Macaca fascicularis: one gene and its partners. The protein of the gene in region 2 interacts with the protein of the main gene of each other region in a pairwise test. Links are inferred from orthologs where the notes say so. Each region holds a gene or a part of one and is shown on either strand. Other genes may lie near its edges. The genes, in order: EAF2, PSME3, WDR25, EAF1, PRR13 and TNFAIP8L1.

The links.
Region 1: the proteins of PSME3 (region 2) and EAF2 interact in binary tests that used the Homo sapiens proteins (3 or more experiments, as listed by UniProt). The two-hybrid records come from large-scale screens. The link is inferred for Macaca fascicularis from reciprocal best matches to the Homo sapiens genes PSME3 and EAF2.
Region 3: the proteins of PSME3 (region 2) and WDR25 interact in binary tests that used the Homo sapiens proteins (3 or more experiments, as listed by UniProt). The two-hybrid records come from large-scale screens. The link is inferred for Macaca fascicularis from reciprocal best matches to the Homo sapiens genes PSME3 and WDR25.
Region 4: the proteins of PSME3 (region 2) and EAF1 interact in binary tests that used the Homo sapiens proteins (3 or more experiments, as listed by UniProt). The two-hybrid records come from large-scale screens. The link is inferred for Macaca fascicularis from reciprocal best matches to the Homo sapiens genes PSME3 and EAF1.
Region 5: the proteins of PSME3 (region 2) and PRR13 interact in binary tests that used the Homo sapiens proteins (3 or more experiments, as listed by UniProt). The two-hybrid records come from large-scale screens. The link is inferred for Macaca fascicularis from reciprocal best matches to the Homo sapiens genes PSME3 and PRR13.
Region 6: the proteins of PSME3 (region 2) and TNFAIP8L1 interact in binary tests that used the Homo sapiens proteins (3 or more experiments, as listed by UniProt). The two-hybrid records come from large-scale screens. The link is inferred for Macaca fascicularis from reciprocal best matches to the Homo sapiens genes PSME3 and TNFAIP8L1.

Annotation. Positions count from the first base shown.
Region 1 is NC_088376.1:161,387,226-161,390,725, reverse strand, and holds part of EAF2 (ELL-associated factor 2), read left to right. Parts: intron 1-1,934; coding exon 1,935-2,071; intron 2,072-3,500. UniProt on the Homo sapiens protein: Acts as a transcriptional transactivator of TCEA1 elongation activity. Acts as a transcriptional transactivator of ELL and ELL2 elongation activities. Potent inducer of apoptosis in prostatic and non-prostatic cell lines.
Region 2 is NC_088390.1:63,893,856-63,897,163, forward strand, and holds part of PSME3 (proteasome activator complex subunit 3), read left to right. Parts: intron 1-231; coding exon 232-280; intron 281-670; coding exon 671-783; intron 784-1,313; coding exon 1,314-1,382; intron 1,383-1,527; coding exon 1,528-1,595; intron 1,596-1,694; coding exon 1,695-1,749; intron 1,750-1,876; coding exon 1,877-1,963; intron 1,964-3,308. UniProt on the Homo sapiens protein: Subunit of the 11S REG-gamma (also called PA28-gamma) proteasome regulator, a doughnut-shaped homoheptamer which associates with the proteasome. 11S REG-gamma activates the trypsin-like catalytic subunit of the proteasome but inhibits the chymotrypsin-like and postglutamyl-preferring (PGPH) subunits.
Region 3 is NC_088381.1:168,621,259-168,623,868, forward strand, and holds the end of WDR25 (WD repeat-containing protein 25), read left to right. Parts: intron 1-889; coding exon 890-1,030; intron 1,031-1,639; coding exon 1,640-1,861; 3' UTR 1,862-2,110; downstream 2,111-2,610.
Region 4 is NC_088376.1:32,924,052-32,928,269, reverse strand, and holds the start of EAF1 (ELL-associated factor 1), read left to right. Parts: upstream 1-1,418; 5' UTR 1,419-1,634; coding exon 1,635-1,737; exon of another isoform or gene 1,738-1,974; intron 1,975-3,800; coding exon 3,801-3,895; intron 3,896-4,218. Other genes in the region: tRNA N(3)-cytidine methyltransferase METTL6, read right to left, coding at 133-357. UniProt on the Homo sapiens protein: Acts as a transcriptional transactivator of ELL and ELL2 elongation activities.
Region 5 is NC_088385.1:60,246,428-60,250,434, forward strand, and holds the start of PRR13 (proline-rich protein 13), read left to right. Parts: upstream 1-1,207; 5' UTR 1,208-1,249; intron 1,250-1,359; 5' UTR 1,360-1,448; intron 1,449-2,141; 5' UTR 2,142-2,161; coding exon 2,162-2,180; intron 2,181-2,865; coding exon 2,866-3,239; intron 3,240-4,007. UniProt on the Homo sapiens protein: Negatively regulates TSP1 expression at the level of transcription. This down-regulation was shown to reduce taxane-induced apoptosis.
Region 6 is NC_088393.1:5,401,429-5,405,725, forward strand, and holds the start of TNFAIP8L1 (tumor necrosis factor alpha-induced protein 8-like protein 1), read left to right. Parts: upstream 1-1,497; 5' UTR 1,498-1,623; intron 1,624-2,937; exon of another isoform or gene 2,938-2,986; intron 2,987-4,297. UniProt on the Homo sapiens protein: Acts as a negative regulator of mTOR activity.

The DNA of each region.
Region 1 (3,500 bases), on a different chromosome or scaffold from region 2:
TATTTTATTATTTTTGTAATATTTGACAAAATTATTATGATAAATCCATTAAAATTTAATGTACTTTTATAAACTTCAAAGACAAACATACACAAATAATTGTTTAGAAATACATATATGTAGGATAAAGCAAAAGAATGACAAACATAAAATTCTTTCAGGTTTGATGGGGCAGGGACAAAAGATATGGGAGGAGCATGTAAGTAGATGTAGTTTATTAGTAATGATCCAGGTTTATTTTATGGCCAACAGAATAGTATAATGAATGACATGTACCCATCACTGAGCTTTAACAATTACCAACATTTTGCTAATATATATTTTTTAATCTAGTGTCTTACCACTTTTTTCCCTTGGCATATTTTATAGCAAATCCCAGACAATGCACCATTTCATCAATGCTTACTTCTGTATCTCTAACTGATAAGGACATTTCTACCTTTATCTAAGCACCATGCTATTGTCACAAATAACATAATTAATAATAATACTTCATCCACAGTCACAATTTTGTGATGATATCAAAAACATGTTTTTACAGACATTTGTCTGTAAAATGTCCTAACTAGAATCCAAAAAAGATTTCTACATTGTATTTGAATACTATATTTCTTGTCTCTTTTATTCTTTAAAAGTCCCTTCCTTTTCTCTACACCCCTTTTTAAATTTATCCTTTTTAGAGGCAGGGTCTCACTGTGTTGCCCAGGTGAGAGTGCAGTGGCTATTCACGGGTGTGATTATGTTACACTAAAGCCTAGAACTCCTGGCTTCAAGCTGTCCTCCTGCTTCAGCACTCATCCTCCACAAGTAGCTGGTACTACAGTGCCTGCACCTGGTTCTCATTCCCTTTTTATGCCATTGGTTTGTTGGAAAAACCGTATTATCTGTCCAAGAGAATACACCTACATTCTGGACTTCAAATTACTTCTATATGGATGTATTTATCTTGTTCCTCTATTCCTTCTGTTTTCTATGAAATGGTAGTTATATATCTAAGGGCAGGCTGGATTACGGATTATTTGGGGTTTGATAAGAATTAAATTCTTTGGGGTTTTTGTGTGGTTTTGGGCAAGAGTATTTTATGGATGGCACTGAGTACTTTTATATTACATCATTAAGCACATAATGTCTGCTTATCTTACCTTTAAGGATGCTAAAATTAATTAGTGGTTTAGTGTAAAAGGTGTTCCTTAATATGCATGGGGAGGTACTACTTTAAGAAAATGCAAGATTTTAAAAATTAAACTTACAATGCAATAAGAAAGAAGATGAGGAGGCTGGGCACAGTGGCTCATGTCTGTAATCACAGCACTTTGGTAGACTGAGATCGCTTGAGGTCAGGAGTTCGAGACCAGCTTGACCAACATGGTGAAACCCCGTCTCTACTAAAAATAGAAAAATTAGCTGGGCGTGGTTGTCCATGCCTATAGTCCCAGCTACTCTGGAGGCTGAGGCAGGAGAATCACTTCAACCCGGGAGGTGGAGGTTACAGTGAGCAGAGATCGTGCCACTGCACTCTAGCCCAGGCAACAGACCAAGACTCTGTCTCAAAAAAAAAAAAAAAAAAAAAAAAAAAAAAAAAAGAGGACTAGAAAGTATGATTCAAAGCTCTGTTTCCTTATTCATAAAATATATTGGTTGTATTAGAATTGAATCTCAATTGCTCGTTATAGGCCAGTGAAACGAATATTTACGGTCCCAAGGTGAGTACTTCCTCTCTTCCCTTTCCTCAATGACAGCAGCTTTGAGATTTCAGCCTATCTTCATCTGTCTTTTTTACTACACTCTTTGGATTCAGGGTAGTAAATTTAGGTAGTTTATGGGTGACTTGAAGTATAACATAGAAGGAGAAACACAGAATCAAGATTTCAAAGGCCTTCCCAACTGAATTCCTATGATAAATTTTAAGTAATAATAATTAACTTTTTAAACAGGGTTCAACTCCACCAGTAACTGTTTTCAAAGGTTCAAAAAAACCTTACTTAAAAGAATGCATTTTGATTATTAACCATGATACCGGAGAATGTCGACTAGAAAAACTCAGCAGCAACATCACTGTAAAAAAAACAAGGTATGTGGTTTAATGAAATAAATTATATTATAAACATTAATTTCTAAGGAAATGTCAGGAAAAAATTTACTATATTAAGTAACATTATAATATAAGGTTTATTTATGTGTGGTACAAAAATGTTTTAATCTTTTTCTAAGTTTAAGTTTGGTGGCGGGCGCCTGTAGACCCAGCTACTCAGGAGGCTGAGGCAGAATGGTGTAAACCCGGGAGGCGGAGCTTGCAGTGAGCTGAGATCCGGCCGCTACACTCCAGCCTGGGCGACAGAGCAAGACTCCATCTCAAAAAAAAAAAAAAAAAATTTGATGGAGATCCTAAGCCAAAAGCTTTTTACCACATCACCCTGTGATATATAAAAGCTTGTTTTGCTTCTAAGTGCTTTCTATAGGTATAGGTATACTTTTTATCCTATTGTAGATACTTCTGTATAACTGGATTGAAGGGAGCCATTATACATTCTCTAAAATAATTTCATCTTCATTAGTAAAAATTTATTGAGTACCTATGCTGTGTAAGGTACTAGAAAAAGGAAAGTTTGCTCTGCAAACGCCTCAGAACTTCTGCGTTTTATTCAGGTAAACAGACCATTCCATTTAAAAAGTCAATAGGAGAATATACCCATCTCAAATCCTTTTTGGAAATAGGTGAGACATTACTTACCATGTAATATAAGGATGTTTGCTCTAAAAGCCATGCAAATAGTATAGACAAAAATTGCTCTAGGAATTAAGAAAAAGGAGAAGTAATGGTAGATCGGAACATTCAGGGAGGCCTTTTTGAGGTACCATAAGGGGAGGTTAGGATCATAAGAATTACCTTGGGTGCTTGTTAAAAATTAGTTCCTGAATCCAGCCTTAAATCAGGGAAGGATCCTGGGAAACTCTATTTTTTAATATCCCCTCACCTCTACCATCTATGCCCTGCTGTGATTCACACCAGAAGAAAGTTTGTGAAATACGATTTAATTGATTAGAGAGGAGATGAGGGTGTAAGCCAAGTTTGAAGGCAGGAATGTATCTGACTTATTCAGGGCCAATGAGTAAGACCTATTTGAACGGAGCAGAGGTTTGTCTCTGTACCCGTGTATATATTTTGGAAAGTAGGGGGCGATATTGATATTGGGCTAGAGGTAAGTTTGTAATTTCGTTGGTTGAGGTTAGTGCCATCAATATTAACTAAGAAATTAGGACATTATCTTGCTGGTAGTGGTTGCATATTAAAGTCTTTTTAACCAGGGATTGGCATGTTTACAGTTTTGTTTTAAAACATTAATTCAGTAGAAAAGCTGAGTAAATGAAACAATGCAGGAATCAGAAAAATGTATAAACCAGGATTTTTTGAGAGCAGAAATGAAGAGAAAAGTGAGGTTCTAAAGACTCTTTGAAGGAAGAACTGACAGGATTTGGTGACTGGAAATGGGAGAGGCAAA
Region 2 (3,308 bases):
CTCGTGATCCACCCATCTCGGCCTCCCAAAGTGCTGGGATTACAGGCTTGAGCCACCGCGCCCAGCCCCAAGAACCTTTTCTTAAAGCTTTATGTGTACTTAGGAAATTGTGCAGAAATTAATAACACAAACTATGAGGCTGAGGAAGGGATTAAACTTGCTTGGAGGGTATCTTGTGATGGACATGTGGGTGTCAAAAGAAGGCTCATCCCTGCCTCTTTGTATCCTTAGCCCACTTATAAGAAGCGAAGGTTGGATGAGTGTGAAGAAGCCTTCCAAGGTAAGAGGCACCCTTACCTTACCTCTCCTCACCCCACCCCTGACTTGCAACCCTGAGAAGCAGGTGGATCTAGTTCTCCCGACCAGGAGGCAAGATCTGATCTCACTTCCCAGAGGTAGCATTCCCAGCTCCTCCAAACATGCTTGTTATTTAGTGCTCTTAACCTGGTTTTCCAATAAACAGAGGGTTTAAGACTTTTGTCATGTTTCAGATGCTCATCTGTTGTTCTTTTGTTCCACACATTCTCGTTGATTCTAATAGTGGTGTCTTGGTAGGATTGTGACAAAGGCAGAGGTCATAGCATCTGATAGGTATAGGAAAAATGAGAGAGAGACGGGATGCTGTGTCCTTCCCTCTTCCCTGATCATTTGACCTTCATATCTCTGCCAGGAACCAAGGTGTTTGTGATGCCCAATGGGATGCTGAAAAGCAACCAGCAGCTGGTGGACATTATTGAGAAAGTGAAACCTGAGATCCGGCTGTTGATTGAGAAATGTAACACGGTGAGGCACAGGCTAGTGACCTATGGGCCGGCCCCAAGTACCCCCCGTGAAGTGCAAGAAACAGTGGATGTACGGGTGGTATGGGAATTGGCAGACTAGATTTTTTTGTGGTTTTTTTTTTTTTTGAGATGGGGTCTTGCTCCGTCACCCAGGTTGGAGTGCAGTGGCGCCATCTCGGCTCACTGCAACCTCTGCCTCCTGGGTTCAAGCGATTCTCCTGCCTCAGCCTCCTGAGTAGCTGGGTTTACAGGTGCCTGCTAACACACCCGGCTACTTGTTGTGTTTTTAGTAGAGATGGGGTTTCACCATTTTGGCCATGGCTAGCCAGGCTGGTCTCGAACTCCTGACCTCAGGTGATCCACTCGCTTCAGGCTCCCAAATTGCTGGGATTACCGGTGTGAGCCACTGTGCCTGGCCAGACTAGGTATTTTGGCTTCTGTGTTCCTGGCATCTGGCCCCAGCCGTCTGAATTGTGTACTTAATGGCTTCAGCCTTCAGGCAAAGGTCCTCATATATGTTTTGACCTCCAGGTCAAAATGTGGGTACAGCTCCTGATTCCCAGGATAGAAGATGGAAACAACTTTGGGGTGTCCATTCAGGTAATGTACTTGAATTACGAACTGGGAAGAGCGGCTTGGGAGATACTCTCATCTCCCCTGCGTTAGCTTTTTTTCCTTTCTCCTTGGGGCTGCTGTGGATGTCATGGAAGTGGCTTTTGATGCACCTGTTGTTTGTTTGTTTTAGGAGGAAACAGTTGCAGAGCTAAGAACTGTTGAGAGTGAAGCTGCATCTTATCTGGACCAGATTTCTAGGTAGGGCTGCTTGGGCTTGGCCGAGGCATTGGGGGCTGATGAGGTGGTGGGCACCATCAAGGGTCTCCTGCAGCTTCCTCCTCTTCTCTCTCCTTTCAGATATTATATTACAAGAGCCAAATTGGTTTCTAAAATAGCTAAATATCCCCATGTGGTAAGTAAGTGGTTTGTGGCCTGAGGGTGGAGGTGGCAGGATAGTGAACAGTGACTGTTACTGGGAAGGAGCTATCTGGGAACAGTTGGGCCTTGGGGACTAGCTTTTTCCTCTACCCTCCTTGCAGGAGGACTATCGCCGCACCGTGACAGAGATTGATGAGAAAGAATATATCAGCCTTCGGCTCATCATATCAGAGCTGAGGAATCAATATGTGAGTAACCTCAGTCCTTGTATAGTTGCTGTGGCTTCACTTAGTTCTGTCGAGAGTATTCTTGAAATTCTCTGAAGGGCTGAGATGAAGGTCTGAGGTAAAATTAGTAGACTAAATTCTGTTCATCAACTGAGTGTTGAGAACCATGAAGTCCTCTAGCGGGGTTTCTCTCTTCTTTCTGCCTGAGAGGAGGGGTGTGCCGTACAGTATGGTTAAGATATCGGTGTTAGAGTCAGACAGACTTAGGTTTGCAACCAGGCTCTACCTGTATTGTGTGATCTCGAGCAAATTGTTTAAGCTCAAACTTCAATTTCTTCTTTAAAATGGGACTGGGGCCGGGCGCGGTGGCTCAAGCCTGTAATCCCAGCACTTTGGGAGGCCGAGGCGGGCGGATCACAAGGTCAGGAGATCGAGACCACAGTGAAACCCCATCTCTACTAAAAATACAAAAAATTAGCCGGGCGCGGTGGCGGGCGCCTGTAGTCCCAGCTACTCAGGAGGCTGAGGCAGGAGAATGGCGGGAACCCGGGAGGCGGAGCTTGCAGTGAGCCGAGATCACGCCACTGCACTCCAGCCTGGGCAACAGCGTGAGACTCCGTCTCAAAAAAAAAAATAAAATAAAAAAAAAAAATAAAATGGGACTGGGCTGGGTGCAGTCGCTCATGTCTGTAATCCCAGCACTTCAGGAGGCCAAGCCAGGTGGATCACCTGAGGTCAGGAGTTTGAGACCAGCCTGACCAACATGGTGAAACCTTGTCTCTACTAAAAATACAAAATTAGCTGGGCGTGGTGGCACATGGCTGTAATCCCAGCTACTTGGGAGGCTGAGGCAGGAGAATCACTTGAACCCAGGAAGTGGAGTTTACGGTGAGCCAAGAGCGTGCCATTGCACTCCAGCCTGGGCAACAAGAGTGAAACTCCGTCTCAAAAAAAATAAAAATAAAAATAGGCCTGGTGTGGTGGCTCACGCCTGTAATATCAGCACTTTGGGAGGCCGAGGCGGACATATCACTTCAGGTCAGGAGTTCGAGACCAGCCTGACCAACATGGAAAAACCCTGTCTTTACTAAAAATACAAAAAAAAATTGGCGCATGCCTGTAATCCTAGCTACTTGGGATGCTGAGGCAGGAGAATTGCTTGAACCCGGGAGGCGGAGGTTGCAGTGAGCCGAGATTGTGCCTCTGGACTCCAGCCTGGGCAATAAGAACGAAACTCAGCCTCAAATAAAAATTAAAATTAAAAAAATAAAATGGGACTGAAGAGGCCGGGTGTGGTGGATCACACCTGTAATGCCAGCACTGTGGGAGGCTGAGGCAGGTAGATCACATGAGGTCAGGAGTTTGA
Region 3 (2,610 bases), on a different chromosome or scaffold from region 2:
TTGATTGGGCTGAAATCAAGTTGTTGGCAGGGTGTGTTCCCTCTGGAGTGTCAAGGGGAGAATCCCTCCTGGCCTCTTCTGGCTTTTGGTGACAGCCAGCATTCCTGGCTTGTGTCTGCATCTCTCCAGCCCTCCAAGCCAGCGTCTTCACACCACCTTCACTGTGTGTCACATCTCTGCACCTTCCCTTTGTTTCTTTTTTTTTTTTTTTTCTTTTGTAGAGATGGGGGTTTTGCTGTGTTGCCCAGGCTGGTGTTGAACTCCTGGGCTCAAGCGATCCGCCCGTCTCAGCATCCCGAAGTGCTGGGATACAGGCGTGAGCCACCACGCCCAGCCTTGGCTTCCTTTCTGTAAGGCTGCACGTGACTGCATGTAGCGTGACATAGGATCATCTCCTTATCTCAGAATCCTTAATTATGTCTGCAGAGACCCTTGGTTTTGACCCTGTAAGGTAACATTCACAGGTTTCAGGAATTAGAACATGGGTATATTTTGGGGGGCTTTTTCCTGCCTGCCACAGGGACACAGGCAGGTTGTAGAAGCTGGGAAACATGGAGGAAATTTGGGTCCCTCTAGCCTCCAGAAAGAAGTCCAGCCCCGCCAACATCTTGAGTTCAGCCCAGTGAAGCCGCTTTCAGACTTCTGACTTGCAGAACTGTGTGATGTAAAATGTGTGTGTCTTGAGCCACCAAGCTTGTGGCGATTTGTCATGGCAGCGATAGGAAACCAATGGAGACACCCAGCAAGGGTCTGGAAGCAGGCCCCAGGTCTACAGCACCTACTGTGTGCCTGTCTGTGGGAGGGGAAGCTGGAGCGGAGCTTCCCCTCAGAGCAGAGTGCCGGGTAGGGGGTGTCTTCTCCGACCCATTTGTGGCTCTGCTTTTCTCAGGAGAGGTTCACCTGCCCCAGCCTCGCCTTGCACCCGAGAGAGCCCGTGTTCCTGGCACAGACCAATGGCAACTACATGGCCCTTTTCTCCACTGTGTGGCCCTACCGGATGAGCAGACGGCGGCGCTATGAAGGGCACAAGGTACTTCTGTCCTTGTCTCCCAGGCGAATGCTGAGCCCCAGCCCCAAGCCTCCTGGCAGTCCTGGATATGGGCCCCGGGGTGCATGGAGCTTCTGTCTGGGCGGATCCTGCTTTCTGTTTCCTTGGTGAGTGCATGCCATGTGGCCTGCTATCTCTTCAAGTCCCTGAGCCACATCTGGTCCTCACCCCAGGGCCCAGGTACTGGGCAGGAAGCAGTAGTTGGCTCACACAGACAGGTCTCAGAGGTGGGTGGCGGGAACAGGACAGAATGGTCATGGGTGTCATTTCTGCACCCTCCCCTTTCCACAGTGAGGCCAGCCTTGATGGGGTGAAAGGGGCTGGGGGCTGGGTGACTGTCCCTGAGGCCAGACCCCTCAGCTGGGCTGGAGCTGATCTCCCTGGATTTGCTGAACTGGCCTTGGGATGTGAGCCCGCATTAGGGCTCTACAGCCTCATAGGTGGGACTTGGGCTTTGACCTCAGGGAATGGGGTGTGAAGCCCAGCTCTGCTCTGTCAGCTCGGGGCTTCGGCCTGTTCCTCTGTAGAATGGGTGTACTCACCCCAGCTTGACAGGTGCAGCCTACTCACCTGCTGTGTCCCTCTCTGCAGGTGGAGGGCTACTCAGTGGGCTGTGAGTGCTCCCCAGGCGGTGACCTGCTGGTGACGGGCAGCGCCGATGGCCGGGTCCTGATGTACAGCTTCCGCACGGCCAGCCGGGCATGCACACTGCAGGGGCACACGCAGGCCTGTGTCGGCACCACCTACCACCCCGTGCTGCCCTCCGTCCTCGCCACCTGCTCCTGGGGAGGGGACATGAAGATCTGGCACTGAGCTTTGTGTCACTGAACCTTCCCGTTGCCAGCTGGGCTCTGGGACTCCCCTCTTCCTCAAGGGTGTATGAGAGGAATGAGCACAGAGGTTGGCTGTGGGTCCTGGGTACCACCCTCTGAGCCTCAGTTTCCTCATCTGTAAAGTGGGGACAAAAGTCTGTTTGCCTCAGGAGTGTGAGGACTACAATAGTGAAAGTGCCTGGCAGGCGGCCGGCGATGCCTAATAAACGTGTGTTTTGCTATTTGTTAAGTGTTTTCAGCAATAAGTTTGCATTAGCGGCTTCTTCTCACCTCCTTCCTCCCAGGCCTGCTGGAGCTCTGGAGACAGAGAGAACTGTGCGAGCTTGAGATGGGATCATCTCGCTCTGGGGGTCCCAGCAAGGGAGTCCTGAAGTGGGGGTAGTCTGTATCTTTGGTCTGCCCTCAGGGATTCTGTTGGAGCTCAGTGCCCCACCAGACTCACAGGCCCCAGCCGCTTGCACTCCCCAGGACTGTGGCCAGCTGGGCCCCTGGTTGGCCCAAGCCCTGGGCCCCTTGGGCCGCCTCTTTCCCCACCAGTGTGCGTGCTGCACACGCAGGTGTGCTCACCTGCTGAGGGAGCCTCGTGGAGAAGTGAGGGAGGGACCCTTGAGGAGCCTGGAGGAGCTGGGCTGGGAGGAGGCCTGGCTCCCCAGGTGCCTGCACAGGCTGACTAGATGGAAACCCCAACAGAATTGTAACTGAGGGGCCACTGCAGGAGCCCAGGGATCT
Region 4 (4,218 bases), on a different chromosome or scaffold from region 2:
CAATCTCTTGACCTCGTGATCCGCCTGCCTCGGCCTCCCCAGGTACTGGGATTACAGGCATGAGCCACTGCACTGGGCCCTCTTCACATTTTAAATTAAGAACAGCTCAGATAAGGCGTAATATTAGCTTACCTCTCTACATGATCTTAGCTCCTCAAACTCTCTGGTGGTCCAGTGTCTGTCTTTGAAGAAATTAGTGCTATTTCTTTTGTAAAAAAGATCCCAGTTTTTCTGAGCCTCTTGTTCCAATTTGTGCTGTTTAAAATCAGACACCAAAGTTTGGTCTCTTTTCAGTTTCTCCTCTTCTTCAGAGCTGAGAACCCTTGCCTGCAGCCTCTTCCTTGGCAAAGAAGTCATCTCAGAAACTGAAGGTAACACTTAACACAGCTGAAGATTCTCCATCCCCAAATAATATGAATCCATGCTAATGGATCAGATGCATTTCCTCAGGTGAGTTTCACGCCTCAAACAGCACAGGGGCTTCGCAGACAAAAGAATGAGATTCTGGTTAGTGGTTCTAGAACGGTTCAAGACGCCAGGTTCAATTCACCAAATGTTTATGAGATGCAGACTGTACAAAAAAAAAATCCTCCCCGCTATATGAGAGGTCACAAGGACGACAAAGACAACAGTCCCTAACTTCAGAGGGCTTAAATTCATTCAGTGGCCAGGACTATCTCATGCACCATACTTTTATTCAAACCAGATGAGTCAACTATTACAATAAATCGATTTAGTTTAGGAAAAAAAAGGACGCTCTCACGAACTGACTGGGAAACCTTGCGAAGAAAATATTACTCAATTTTCGGTGCCCGCGAAAGGGGTGACTTAAAAACCACAATGGACTTAGCTGGAAGCGGGTGGTCAATTGCCAGATACAAGTGAGGTCACCGTTTTCCAAGGGTCGGAGCTCCGTTTTTTCGGGGGAAATGAAGCTAAGCCTGGGTGGGCTCATTTCCTGACCGCACTCACAAGAGGCTGTCGTAGGAACCAGAGGGAACGTCACTTTTCAGGGACTGAGGCCCTCGCACCGCCATCACTGCGCAAAGTGGAGAAAGAGACCCAGTGACGCGTGGCTGAGGTCCCGAGGATCCATCTCAGGACACTCAGGATAGACTAGGCCGCATGGGCCCCTGGACCCTGAGGAGGGCGTCCGTGATGGCTAGCCTACCCGCGTTAATCTAGTCAGCCACGCTCAGGGATCACCATCATCAGTTCCTAAATTCACCTGTAGGGGTAGGGCCAGGCGCACTCACCCTACAGCCAGCCCCAGATCTCGGAGGCAGAATATGGGAGGAACTGCGAAACAACCCTGAGCCAATTCTGAGAATCACAAATTGGGAATCTCCGGGAGGAGTTCTTTCGCCATGGCACCGCCCCCGCCACTTCCGCTAGGAACCCGGAAGTTCCTACCCGACGCCGGAAGTCCCCCGGCCTTGCCCCTTCAGATTCTTCCTTTATCCCGAGGCAGAGAACAGGACTTGCTTCTGGACCCGGGTGGGTGCCGGCTTTGCTCTCCTTGCCCCCTAGAGCGGTGTCCCGGGAGCACAGTCCTCCCAGACGCCAGCGCCGGAAGCTCCGATCGCGGCTGCGCCAGGAGAGCGCCGATCTGGGTGCGAGGCCGGTGCGGGGCCATGAATGGGACCGCGAACCCGCTGCTGGACCGCGAGGAACATTGCCTGAGACTCGGGGAGAGCTTCGAGAAGCGACCGCGGGCCTCCTTTCACACTATTCGTTGTAAGTCAGCGCTCCCCACGGTTCCCTTCGGCCGCTCAAGCCGCCACATGTCAACCTTGACTCCTTCCTTTCTTCTCTCGGCCCTTCAGATTCCAGGGAACCCCCTGCCAGCGTCAGTTACTTTCTCTCGAACCCCCAATCCTTTGGGACCTCGAGTTGGCCCTTCTTTTACCCAGATTATTTCTCCCAAATCTTCGTCACTCCCTACTATTCTTCTACTTTATAGTCTCAAACACTAGTTCCAAAGGTCTTTGGCCTCGTTTTGGTTCCATCCCTCCCCTCCCCCGACGTCGCCCCTAAGGCAAACCTCCCGCCCCTAAGGCAAACCTCCCGCCCCTAAGGCAAACCTCCCTCCCCCAAGGCAAACCTCCCCCCTCTTATCCGGGTCCACTTCTTCCTCGAAACCCCTCCCCTCCTTTCCAATGCTCCCATCAGGGTTCTCCATAGTTAAAAGACGCTTCTTGTTTATTACGACCCTCATCCACTCCCTCCGAACCCCTTCTCTTCCCTGCTTTCCTCCTCCGACTTGGTTCTGGACTCCCAGATACTGCGCTTTGTCCCCTTTACAGCCAAAGAATTGGCATCCTCTCTGCGCCTCAGAGTTTTCTTCCATCTCCTTTCTGTGCTTCATTTGACTTGGATGTCTTTTGAGGTCACCTATACCATACGGGCTTTTCCTCCAGACCAAGTTCCTTGTGGGTAAAGAGTCAAATCAGAGTTCGTGAGCCTGGGATAGGTTAAAGATTGGTCTATGTTTGGAAGCAGAAGAGAGCAGGCGTAAGGAATGGCCAAATAGTCATTATGCCGGACCTTTTTCTACATGATTATAGACTCTGTTGAGAGTGCACTTCCACCCTATGTCCTGGGTGAAGGTTTGGCAGTTAGGAATTGGCTGACAGAGCATCCCTCCGTGATTCATGAACTTCTGGTTTCCGTGGCGCTAACGCTGTTGTTAAGACTTGTTTTTGTCAGAGGACCTGATAGATGTGACTCAACACATGTGAAGAGGGCGTCTTAGATAATGAAATCCCATCTTTGTGTAGTCACTTGCCATGCCATTACTATGCTTCCTACTGACAGCAGATCCAGCTCTTTCAGAGAGGAGATTGGGAATGAGATAAGAACATCATTTCCTGAAGAGTTTACTAAGTTGATGTTCTCTTTTGGTGAAGGGCAATGTGGAATTTAAATCATACAGTTCATGTGTGCACCTGCCCTGCAGTTTGAGGCAGATGTGAATGTGAATTAAGATGGCTATTCATGTTGTACTCTAACTGCAGTTTAGAAACACGAGCAGGATAACTTGTGGAGATACAGTTAAGTTGTCTGCTATAAACTACAGAATTGTCTTGGTTAAAGCTGCAGAACTGGCTGAGAGTGGTGGCTGACACGATAATCCCAGTACTTTGGGAGGCCGAGGCGGGCAGATAGCTTGAGCCCAGGAGTTTGAGACCAGCCTGGGCAGCGTAGGCCCATCACTATTTAAAAAGAAAGAAAGAAAGAAAAAAAACAGCTATGGAACTTGAGTATGGCAAATCCTAATTTTGACAGTTTCTATGCAGAGTGAAATCAGCTTTTGATGATGCAGTGGCCTTTCGTATTTCATAGAGTTTACAGTCACAGGATCTTTTTCATATGCTGTTACTTTTGATCCTCACAACCCTAAAAAAGCAACTTATTATGGATGATGAGACCTTCATTTTCATCTCTCCCTTGGGAGAAGGGAATATCTTTAATAAAATGGCCTGTAAATTCTTTTTTCCCCCTAGAATAATCCAAAGGGGGTCAGAGGAAAAGTTTGTAGAGGTGTAGATGAAACAGGATTGTCCCTGAGTTGGTAATAATAGAAACTGGATAATGGTACACCAGGGCTCATTGTACGATTTTCTCTACTTTTGTATATCTGAAGTTTTCCATAATGAAACCGGTTTTTAAGAATTCTGAATTATTTTTATTTTTCATTCATCTGAGTAATAACAAATTTAATTCTTAAATGGAGATGTCCAGGAGGCCCTTATTATAAGTAACCTGGTGGGTAAGTGTTTTCTTTCCTTTCCCTTTAGATGATTTTAAACCAGCATCTATAGACACTTCCTGTGAAGGAGAGCTTCAAGTTGGCAAAGGAGATGAAGTCACAATTACACTGCCACATATCCCTGTGAGTTTATTTCATTGTTTTTTTAAATGTAGGATCACAATGGATCTTCATCTTTTATGTTATTGCAATTTAAACTTCCTACTTTTAAAAATGTTTAGATTTCTAAAGTGGCAACATAAGGGAAAAAAGGAATTTTGGGGAGTGGGGTGGGGTGGACTTCATGCTAGGCAGGTGCTTGATTTAAAAATAATTCTTGTAATCTTAGCACTTTGGGAGGTGGAAGTGGGTAGATAGCTTGAGTTCAGGAGTTCAAGACCAGCCTGGGCAACATGGTGAAACCCCGTCTGTACCAAAAATACAAAAAAATTAGCTGGGGGTGATGG
Region 5 (4,007 bases), on a different chromosome or scaffold from region 2:
AGAAACGGGGTTTTACCATATTGGCCAGGCTGGTCTCGAACTCCTGACCTCGTGATCCGCCCGCCTCGGCTTCCCAAAGTGCTTGGATTACAGGCATGAGCCAATGTACCTGGCCACTTGTATTGTTTTCTTTAAAAAAAAAAAAAAAAAGTCTGGGCGCGGTGGCTCACGCCTGTAATCCCAGCACTTTGGGAGGCCGAGGCAGGCAGATCACGAAGTCAAGAGATGGAGACCATCCTGGCCAACATGGTGAAACCCCATCTCTACTAAGAAATACAAAAATTAGCCGCGCCTGTAGTCCCAGCTACTCGGGAGGCTGAGGCAGAAGAATCGCTTGAACGCGGGAAGCGGAAGTTGCAGTGAGCTGAGGTCGCACCACTGCACTCCAGCCTGGCAACAGAGCGAGACTCCGTCTCAAAAAAAAAAAAAAAAAAAAAAAAAAAAAAAAAAAAAAAAAGAGGCCATTGTAGCAATTCAGGGGAGAAATGAATCCAGGCGAGAGATGATGGGAGGTTTAGACCAGGGAAGACGGAGAGAAGTGGAGAGATTCCAGATGTATTTGTGAGACAAAACTGGTAATTTGGGGTAAGGGAGGTGAAGGAGACAGAGGGATCACGGAAGACCTCCTTGGTTTCTGGTTTAGGCTTCTTGACAGATGGCGGAGCTATGCAATTGAGAGAGGGAATCCTGGGAGAGATTATGAAATCTCTGTATTTTCCGCAAGAATGTTTGTTTGCTTCCCTTGCGAGTGTAAGAGGGAGCCGAGAACATTGAGGCTTGGGGCTAGGACTCAGCAGCTCCTCTGCCCTTGCCGAGAACTCTGTCTATATCTGTATTACAACACTTACCATAGTGTATTCACTTTACAAGGTATTGCACCCAGTGAACCATGACTAGCAGAGAGCAAGGGCAGAGTTTCTTCTCGGTGTCTCTAGGACTTTGCCCAGCAGCTGGCCCCGCCCCCTCTAGCGCTCTCCGCCTAGCTCCGCCCCCAGGAGATTTCCGGCTTCTCAGTACTTGCCTAGTCGTAAAGGGCTCCGGTCTGCAGCTAGAGCAACCGTTTCCTCCTCAGTTGGACCAGAGTGATTGATTAGTTTGTTGTCCAATCATCAGCCGAGTGGCCACATAATTACCAATTAGGCAGTAGCAGAGGCGGGTACCGAAGCACGGGGTCTGGGTGACTAGGTGTGACTAGGAAGTAAGAGCCGAGACTGCGAAGAACGCATCAAGTCCAGGCGGCGGTGGAAAGGTGACGTGGTATCTGAATTCCATGGGTTTATTCCTTTTCCCATTGCTGGGTTAAGAGCCCCTTCGCAGCTTGGGGCTAGGATCTTCATTTGCCTTTTTTCTTTTTTGGAGGAATTGGGCTGTGTCCATTTATTTAAGTATTTGAGGTTCTTGAGCAACTTCCTTCTTCGCCTCCAGGCGTATCCTTTTCTTAGCCTGAGGTGAGGTCCTCCCCAGGGAGAAAGTTGTTTGAGATCCTTTCTTACTCTGTGGGTGGTTAAAGGCCTCCGGACTCAGTTCCAGGAAAGGGGGATGAATGATGGGGGTGCCGAGACTCGCGGGCTATGCCCTCTTGCGAAGAGTTAGACGCTTCAACCTAGGTGGAGGGGCCCTGGGAACTAGATTCCTGTGTTAGGAACCAAGTAGGTATTGAGGGCGAAGAAACAAGTGGAAAGAGACATTTCTTTCTTTTTTTTTTTTTCGAGGCGGTGTCTCGCTCTGTTGCCCAGGCTAGAGTGCAGTGGCGCGATCTCAGCTCACTGTAACCTCCGCCTCCCAGGTTCAAGCGATTCTCCTGCCTCAGCCTCCCGAGTAACTGGGATTACAGGCGCCCGCCACCGCGCCCGGCTAATTTTTAGATTTTTAGTAGAGACGGGGTTTAACGATGTTGGCCAGGCTGGTGTCGAATTCCTGACCTCGTGATGCACCCGCCTTGGCCTCCCAAAGTGCTGGGATTACAAGCGTGAGCCACCGCGCCCAGCCAGAAAAGAGATGTGTCTTATGTGGAAGTCGTGGTAGTTCTCCAGGTGGGAGAGCCTACTGTGGGGTGGAAGACGTTAGGGCTGGGCTCCGGTGCTAAGTCCACTTCCTACCTCTAGACTGTCATCTTTTTTGCCTCATTTCTTTCTCCTCAGGCTGGAGGACACACCTAAACATGTGGAATCCCAATGCCGGTAGGTGTTTGGGGGTTCTGTACGACCCCTAACCCTTTTTCTGATGGACTCTGTAACAGGAAGTTTCTCTATCAGCTGCCCCATCCCCGACCCGCCACACCCGCAAAAGCAAAGTCCTTAGTCTACAGCTGACCAGTGCTTTTTTATTTTATTTTATTTATTTATTTTTTGAGACGGAGTCTCTGTCGCCCAGGCTGGAGTGCAGTGGCGCGATCTCGGCTCACTGCAACCTCCGCCTCCTGGGTTCAAGCGATTCTCCTGTTTCAGCCTCTGGAGTAGCTGAGATTACAGGCGTGCGCCATCACGCCCGACTACTTTTTGTATTTTTAGTAGAGACGGGGTTTCACCATGTTGGCCAGGCTGGTCTTGAACTCCTGGCCTCATGTGATCTGTCCACCTCGGCCTCCCAAACTGCTGGGATTACAGGCTTGAGCCACCACGCCCCACCGGCCTGACCAGTACTTTTGTCTTCCTCAGAGTTCACTGTCTCCCTCCTCTCTCCAGCCCTTACGGGGACATTCCCCTTTTATCCTCAACTCAGGTTTGTCTCCCCTACCTTCTATTCTCCTTTGTCACTTTTCCATTTCCCTTTAAGTATTGGGTGAGAAAGAATCTCTTTCTTTTTGTTGTTTGTTGTCGGAGACTCTGGGGAATACTAATGTTTATAATCTGCTTCTTCCCCCAGGGCAGCCAGGGCCAAATCCATATACCCCCAACATCGGGTGCCCTGGAGGTTCCAATCCTGCCCACCCACCACCTATTAACCCACTCTTTCCCTCAGGCCCCTGTCCTCCTCCCCCAGGAGCTCCCCAGGGCAATCCAGCTTTCCCCCCAGGTGGGCCCCCTCATCCTGTGCCACAGCCAGGGTATCCAGGATGCCAACCCTTGGGTCCCTACCCTCCTCCATACCCACCTCCTGCCCCTGGAATCCCTCCTGTGAATCCCTTGGCTCCTGGCATGGTCGGACCAGCAGTGATAGTGGACAAGAAGATGCAGAAGAAAATGAAGAAAGCTCATAAAAAGATGAACAAGCACCACAAGCACCACAAGCGTGGCAAGGTCAGTACCCTCTGGAGCCTGGCTAGGGAAGGGGTGCCCCCTCAGAGGGACTAGGTAGGCAGGGGTTGGGTGAGGGGGATTCACATTCTGTGGACGTGGGGGATGACGATTGTGTCACTCTGGTCGATGATTCTTCCTTTTTGTAAAAGATTGCTACTGGGAAGAATCTGATTATCTTGAAAAGAAACATCAGGCTTCTCCTATCTGGGGGGAGCTAGGGTGAGCCTTAAAATAGATTTTTAGAATCAAAAGCCAAATCTTTTCTGCCCTACTCTCTCCCAGAACTTTTGCTCCCCTCCCCGCAGGTGCATATTCTAGCAAGTTGGACCCCCTCACTGACATTATCAAAACATCAATTAAAGTCATTCCTTTGACAAAGCAAAGTCTTATAATAATTAACAGAATAATAATATGGCCCTAGTTCCTGGAGTTCTTTCTCTCTTTCAGTGTTCTTAGGGCCTTGTGTTAATTACATGGGCCCTTTGCCCTATCATCCAGCAGAAAAAGTGAGGACAAGAGCAGTCAGTGACTCAGCCTCTAACAGCCTAGGACTAAGGAGGTTTTATACTCAGCCCCAAGGCTGAGTATCTTTGTTTTAGAGGACTGTTAAAAATTAGTAAGGATCATGCCTGTAATCCCAGCACTTGGGAATTATTAGCTGGGTGTGGTGGCGCATGCCTGTAATCCCAGCTACTCAGGAGGCTGAGGCAGGCGAATTGCTTGAACCCGGGAGGCGGAGGTTGCAGTGAGCCCAGATCTCACCACTGC
Region 6 (4,297 bases), on a different chromosome or scaffold from region 2:
AGCTGGCGCTGCGCAGCCGGGGAGCTCCTGTGTGTCCTGCAGGCTCATTCCTATGGAAATTGAGGCTGGATTTGGCGATCCTCTGATGGTGTCTCCAGGCGTCCTCCACCTCACCCCAAAGATTGATCTTAGCCCCACAACCCTGGGTTACATTCATCCCTTCTAGTGGCACAGAAATCTGTATTTTTAAATTTTTAACTTCTTTTGTTCTTTTTTTGTAGAGACAGGGTCTCCCTATGTTGCCTGGGCTGGTTTCAAACTCCTGGGCTGAAGGGATCCTCCTGCGTTGGCCTCCCAAAGGTCTGGGATTCCAGGTGTGAGGCACCACGCCTAGTAGGAACCTGCATTTTTTTTTTTTTTTTTTGAGACGGTCTCGCTCTGTCGCCCAGGCTGGAGTGCAGTGGCGCGATCTCGGCTCACTGTAAGCTCCGCCTCCCGGGTTCACGCCATTCTTCTGCCTCAGCCTCCTGAGTAGCTGGGACTACAGGCGCCGCCACCACGCCCAGCTAATTTTTTTTTTTAAATTTAATTTTTTTTTTTTTGAGACGGAGTCTGGCTCTGTCGCCCGGGCTGGAGTGCAGTGGCCGGATCTCAGCTCACTGCAAGCTCCGCCCCCCGGGTTTACGCCATTCTCCTGCCTCAGCCTCCCGAGTAGCTGGGACTACAGGCGCCCGCCGCCTCGCCCGGCTAGTTTTTTGTATTTTTTAGTAGAGACGGGGTTTCACCGTGTTCGCCAGGATGGTCTCGATCTCCTGACCTAGTGATCCGCCCGTCTCGGCCTCCCAAAGTGCTGGGATTACAGGCTTGAGCCACCGCGCCCGGCCAATTTATTGTATTTTTAGTAGAGACGGGCTTTCACCGTGTTAGCCGGGATGGTCTCGATCTGCTGACCTCGTGATCTGCCCGCCTCGGCCTACCGAAGTGCTGGGATTACAGGCGTGAGCCACCGCGCCCAATGCATTTTTACATTGCCTCTCTGACGCGAAAGGTTCCCCGAGGCCGAACTTTGAGAAACATGCTTCTGCCGAAATTCCTATTACCCAGGTGGGTAAACTGAGCCCCAGAAGGAGGAAGGGGCCCGTGCAGAACCACGTGGTTGCTCTGTTTTGCCTTTTGGCTCTCCGGTCTCTTCCTGTTGGTGCCTCTGTGCCTCCCTCCCCAGGTTCTCCGTCTGTCTCATACTCTTATCTTTTCCCTTTTCTGTGGCCGGCGCCCCGACTACGGCCTCGCCCCCGCATCCGGGCCCCTTAGCTATTCCGGAGGAATCCCCCAGACCCGCCTGACCCCGCCCCAGGCTCCGCCCCTTCCCCCACCTCCTCCCGTCGCAGTGCCCTGCTTCCATTGGCCTCTTCGTACATTGCCCCCCTGTCATTGGCTAATCCGAAGCGCTCGGCCCGCCCTCCATGCCTGGCAACTCTCCGGTCCCTTCCTGCGGGCGGGGCGAGTGGAGGGCGTGTCCTGCCGAGGGGCGAGGCAAGTGGAGGGCGGGGCCGCGCTGCCGCCCCGCCCCGGCCCCGGCCCCGCTCCGGCGCTGCTCCCACTGCCGCGGCAACGGCCCCAGCCCACGGAGGCGGCTGGACTGACCCCCGACGGTTGGACGCACGGACTCTGCTCCGAGAGCAGGTGAGCGAGAAGTGCCGGGGCGCCCCCTATTTCAGCGCATCCCGGGGACCACCTGGCCGCCCTGTCTCTCCCGCCCGGTAATGCTTCTGCACCCCGCCGCCTGTCCGTCTGCATTCCTGCCTCAGTTTCCCTCTGTCTCTCTGTCCCTCTTGCTGTATAGGTTAGGGAGAGACAGGTTGAGTCTCAATTGCCCCCCTTGGCGTGGGGCTCTGCTTGGGACCAGCACCCCCACCCCTCCGTGGAATCTAGTGGACTCTGCCCCCTTTAACTGCAGGGCCACAGGTGCTCAGGACAGATTCCAGAACCCCGAGGGCATTCCAGGAGGTGGGCAGCTGGGCCAGCCATGCGGAGGTGGGCATGACTGTAGCTTTGACTGTAGCTTCTGGCTAAACCAGGCATCGGTGGCGGGGAGCCAGGCCTAGGCCCGCCCAGGCCCACCCGGACTGGCCCCTAACGAACTCCCAAGTGGCCTGTGGGGCCGTGGCCTCAGTTTTGCCAGCTGTGAACTGGGACCGTCGCTGCCAAGGTAATTGGCAGGTGATCTGAAGGACGTCTGTCGCCTCCTGGCCTTTTCTGTGAAGTCGAACTAGGTCCATTTCCTGGGATGGTAAACTAAGGCCTAGAAAGAGGCCAATGCTTCCAATGTTTGGCCAGGGAGGTGGGGACACAGGAAGGACAGAATCTGTTTTCTCTGCATCCTCACATTTTCCAGCACCTTCTCTATGGTGGGGGGAAGGGCTGGGGGAGGAGCAGCTCTAGGTGTAAACAGGCTACCAGAGGTTCTTTCCTGAGCCAGTCCCAGCTCAGCTGGGGGCGGTGAACGCCTCGGGAGGTCCCAGTGGGGTCAGCCCAGTCGTGGCGGAGCTTGGGCAAATCTAGATTTGAACTCTGCCACCCGCATGGTACCTTGAACCAGTTTTTCAATTCTGCTGAGCCTGTTTCCTCATCTGTAAAACAGGAGTGGGTCGTAACTCACCGAATTACGACTGCTGGGGGATCAGGTGCAGGAATACAGGCCCTGCTTGTAACCCCCCTGACCCTCGCCGTGGCTCTGCCCCAGTCGCACTGGCCTCCTCCTGTTCCTCCAGCACCCCAGGCGAGGTCCTGCCTCAGGGCCTTTGCATGGGCTATGCCCTCTGCCACCACGGCAGGTCCGAGGGCGCCAACTTTGAAACATAACAAGCTCCCTGTATGGGCCGGCCCAGGACCTGCATAGGCAAGGGCTGGGAGGGGCAGAGGAGGGGCCGTTCAGGGACGCTGTACCTATGGAAACAGTGAACAAAGGGCTGTCTCCAGCCACACAAACACCTGGGTGAATTGGGAACTGGCCAGAGGCTGGAGCAGCCTGGGACACAGGTGGCGGGTGAGTGCTTAGACCCCTGGGGGGACTATGGGCTGGAGGGGACTTGAATCCTGCTCTAATCGTGGGGTACCAGGGGGTCCCTAAAGGAAGCGGCTCTGCAGACGGGTGCAGGTCTGAGGCCCCGCCGTGTGCCCCTCCCTCTGTGTGGCCTTGGGCCAACTGTCAGGTGCCCCCAGAACCTCAGTTTCCTCGTCCCCGTTCCTCCAGGGGTCAGCCCAGGTGGGCGAGGGGTCCTTTGATTGCCTGACAATTCAGTATGGTGGGTTCCAGAGGACTCAGTGTCCCTGTCTGTCCAATGGGGCCACGAAAGGGTGCCTTGAGGATAAAACTCCAGCCATTGACGGGGAAACACTTCTCCCAGAGAGACGTCAGCGCTAAAAAATGACTCACACTTGCCCAGGTACAGCCTCAGGTGTTACAGACAGGGAGGGGCGCGAGGAGGCAGATCGAGAGGGAGGAACCGCCTGGTTCCACAGCCTGCCTGCCCCTTCCCAGCATCCCCCGACACCCCTCAGCAGACAACTTCCCTGGAATCACACCCACCCGAGCTTTGACGCAGGGACCTCTGGCAGAGTTCCTGGGATCTTGTAAATTCCCAGCTTCTAGGCCTCAGTTTCCCCATCTGTCCAATGGGGCTGGTCATCTCCTTTTTCTTGTGGAAAGGGGCTGAGATAACTGGGGGGAGGGAGGGTGCTTTGAGGGGTGGGGGTGATTCAGCAAGACATTGTCAAAGGCCCGAGGAGGGGATTACAGGACACAGTGCTTCTAGAAGCTTCCTAAGGCTTCCATCCTTCCCCTCTGGGGTGAGCTCTGGGAGAGAGGAGACTTGAACCTCAAATGTGCTGTGGACTAGGATGGGGAAAGGATTGCGCTAGGTTAAAGGCTGGGTTCAAATTCTGATTCTGCCACATCACTGCTTTATAAGCTCGTGACCCTCTCTGACTCAGTTTCCCCATAACCAAAACCTTGCAGGTCCATCTAGAGAATTTCCCAGCCTGGGCAACATGGTGAAACCCTGTCTCTACTGAAAACAAAGAAAAAGAAAAAATTAGCCAGGTGTGGTGGCGCGGGCCTGTAGTCCCAGCCACTCTGGAGGCTGAGGTGGGAGGATCACCTGAGCCCAGGGAGGTTGAGGCTGCAGTGAGCCGAGATCACACCACTGCGCTCCAGCCTGGGTGACAGGAGTGAGACCCTGTCTTAAAGAAAAAGAAGAGAATTGGCTGGGCGCCATGGCTCACGCCTGTAATCCCAGCACGTTGGGAGGCCGAGGCGGGCGGATCACCTGAGGTGAGGAATTCGAGACCAGCCTGG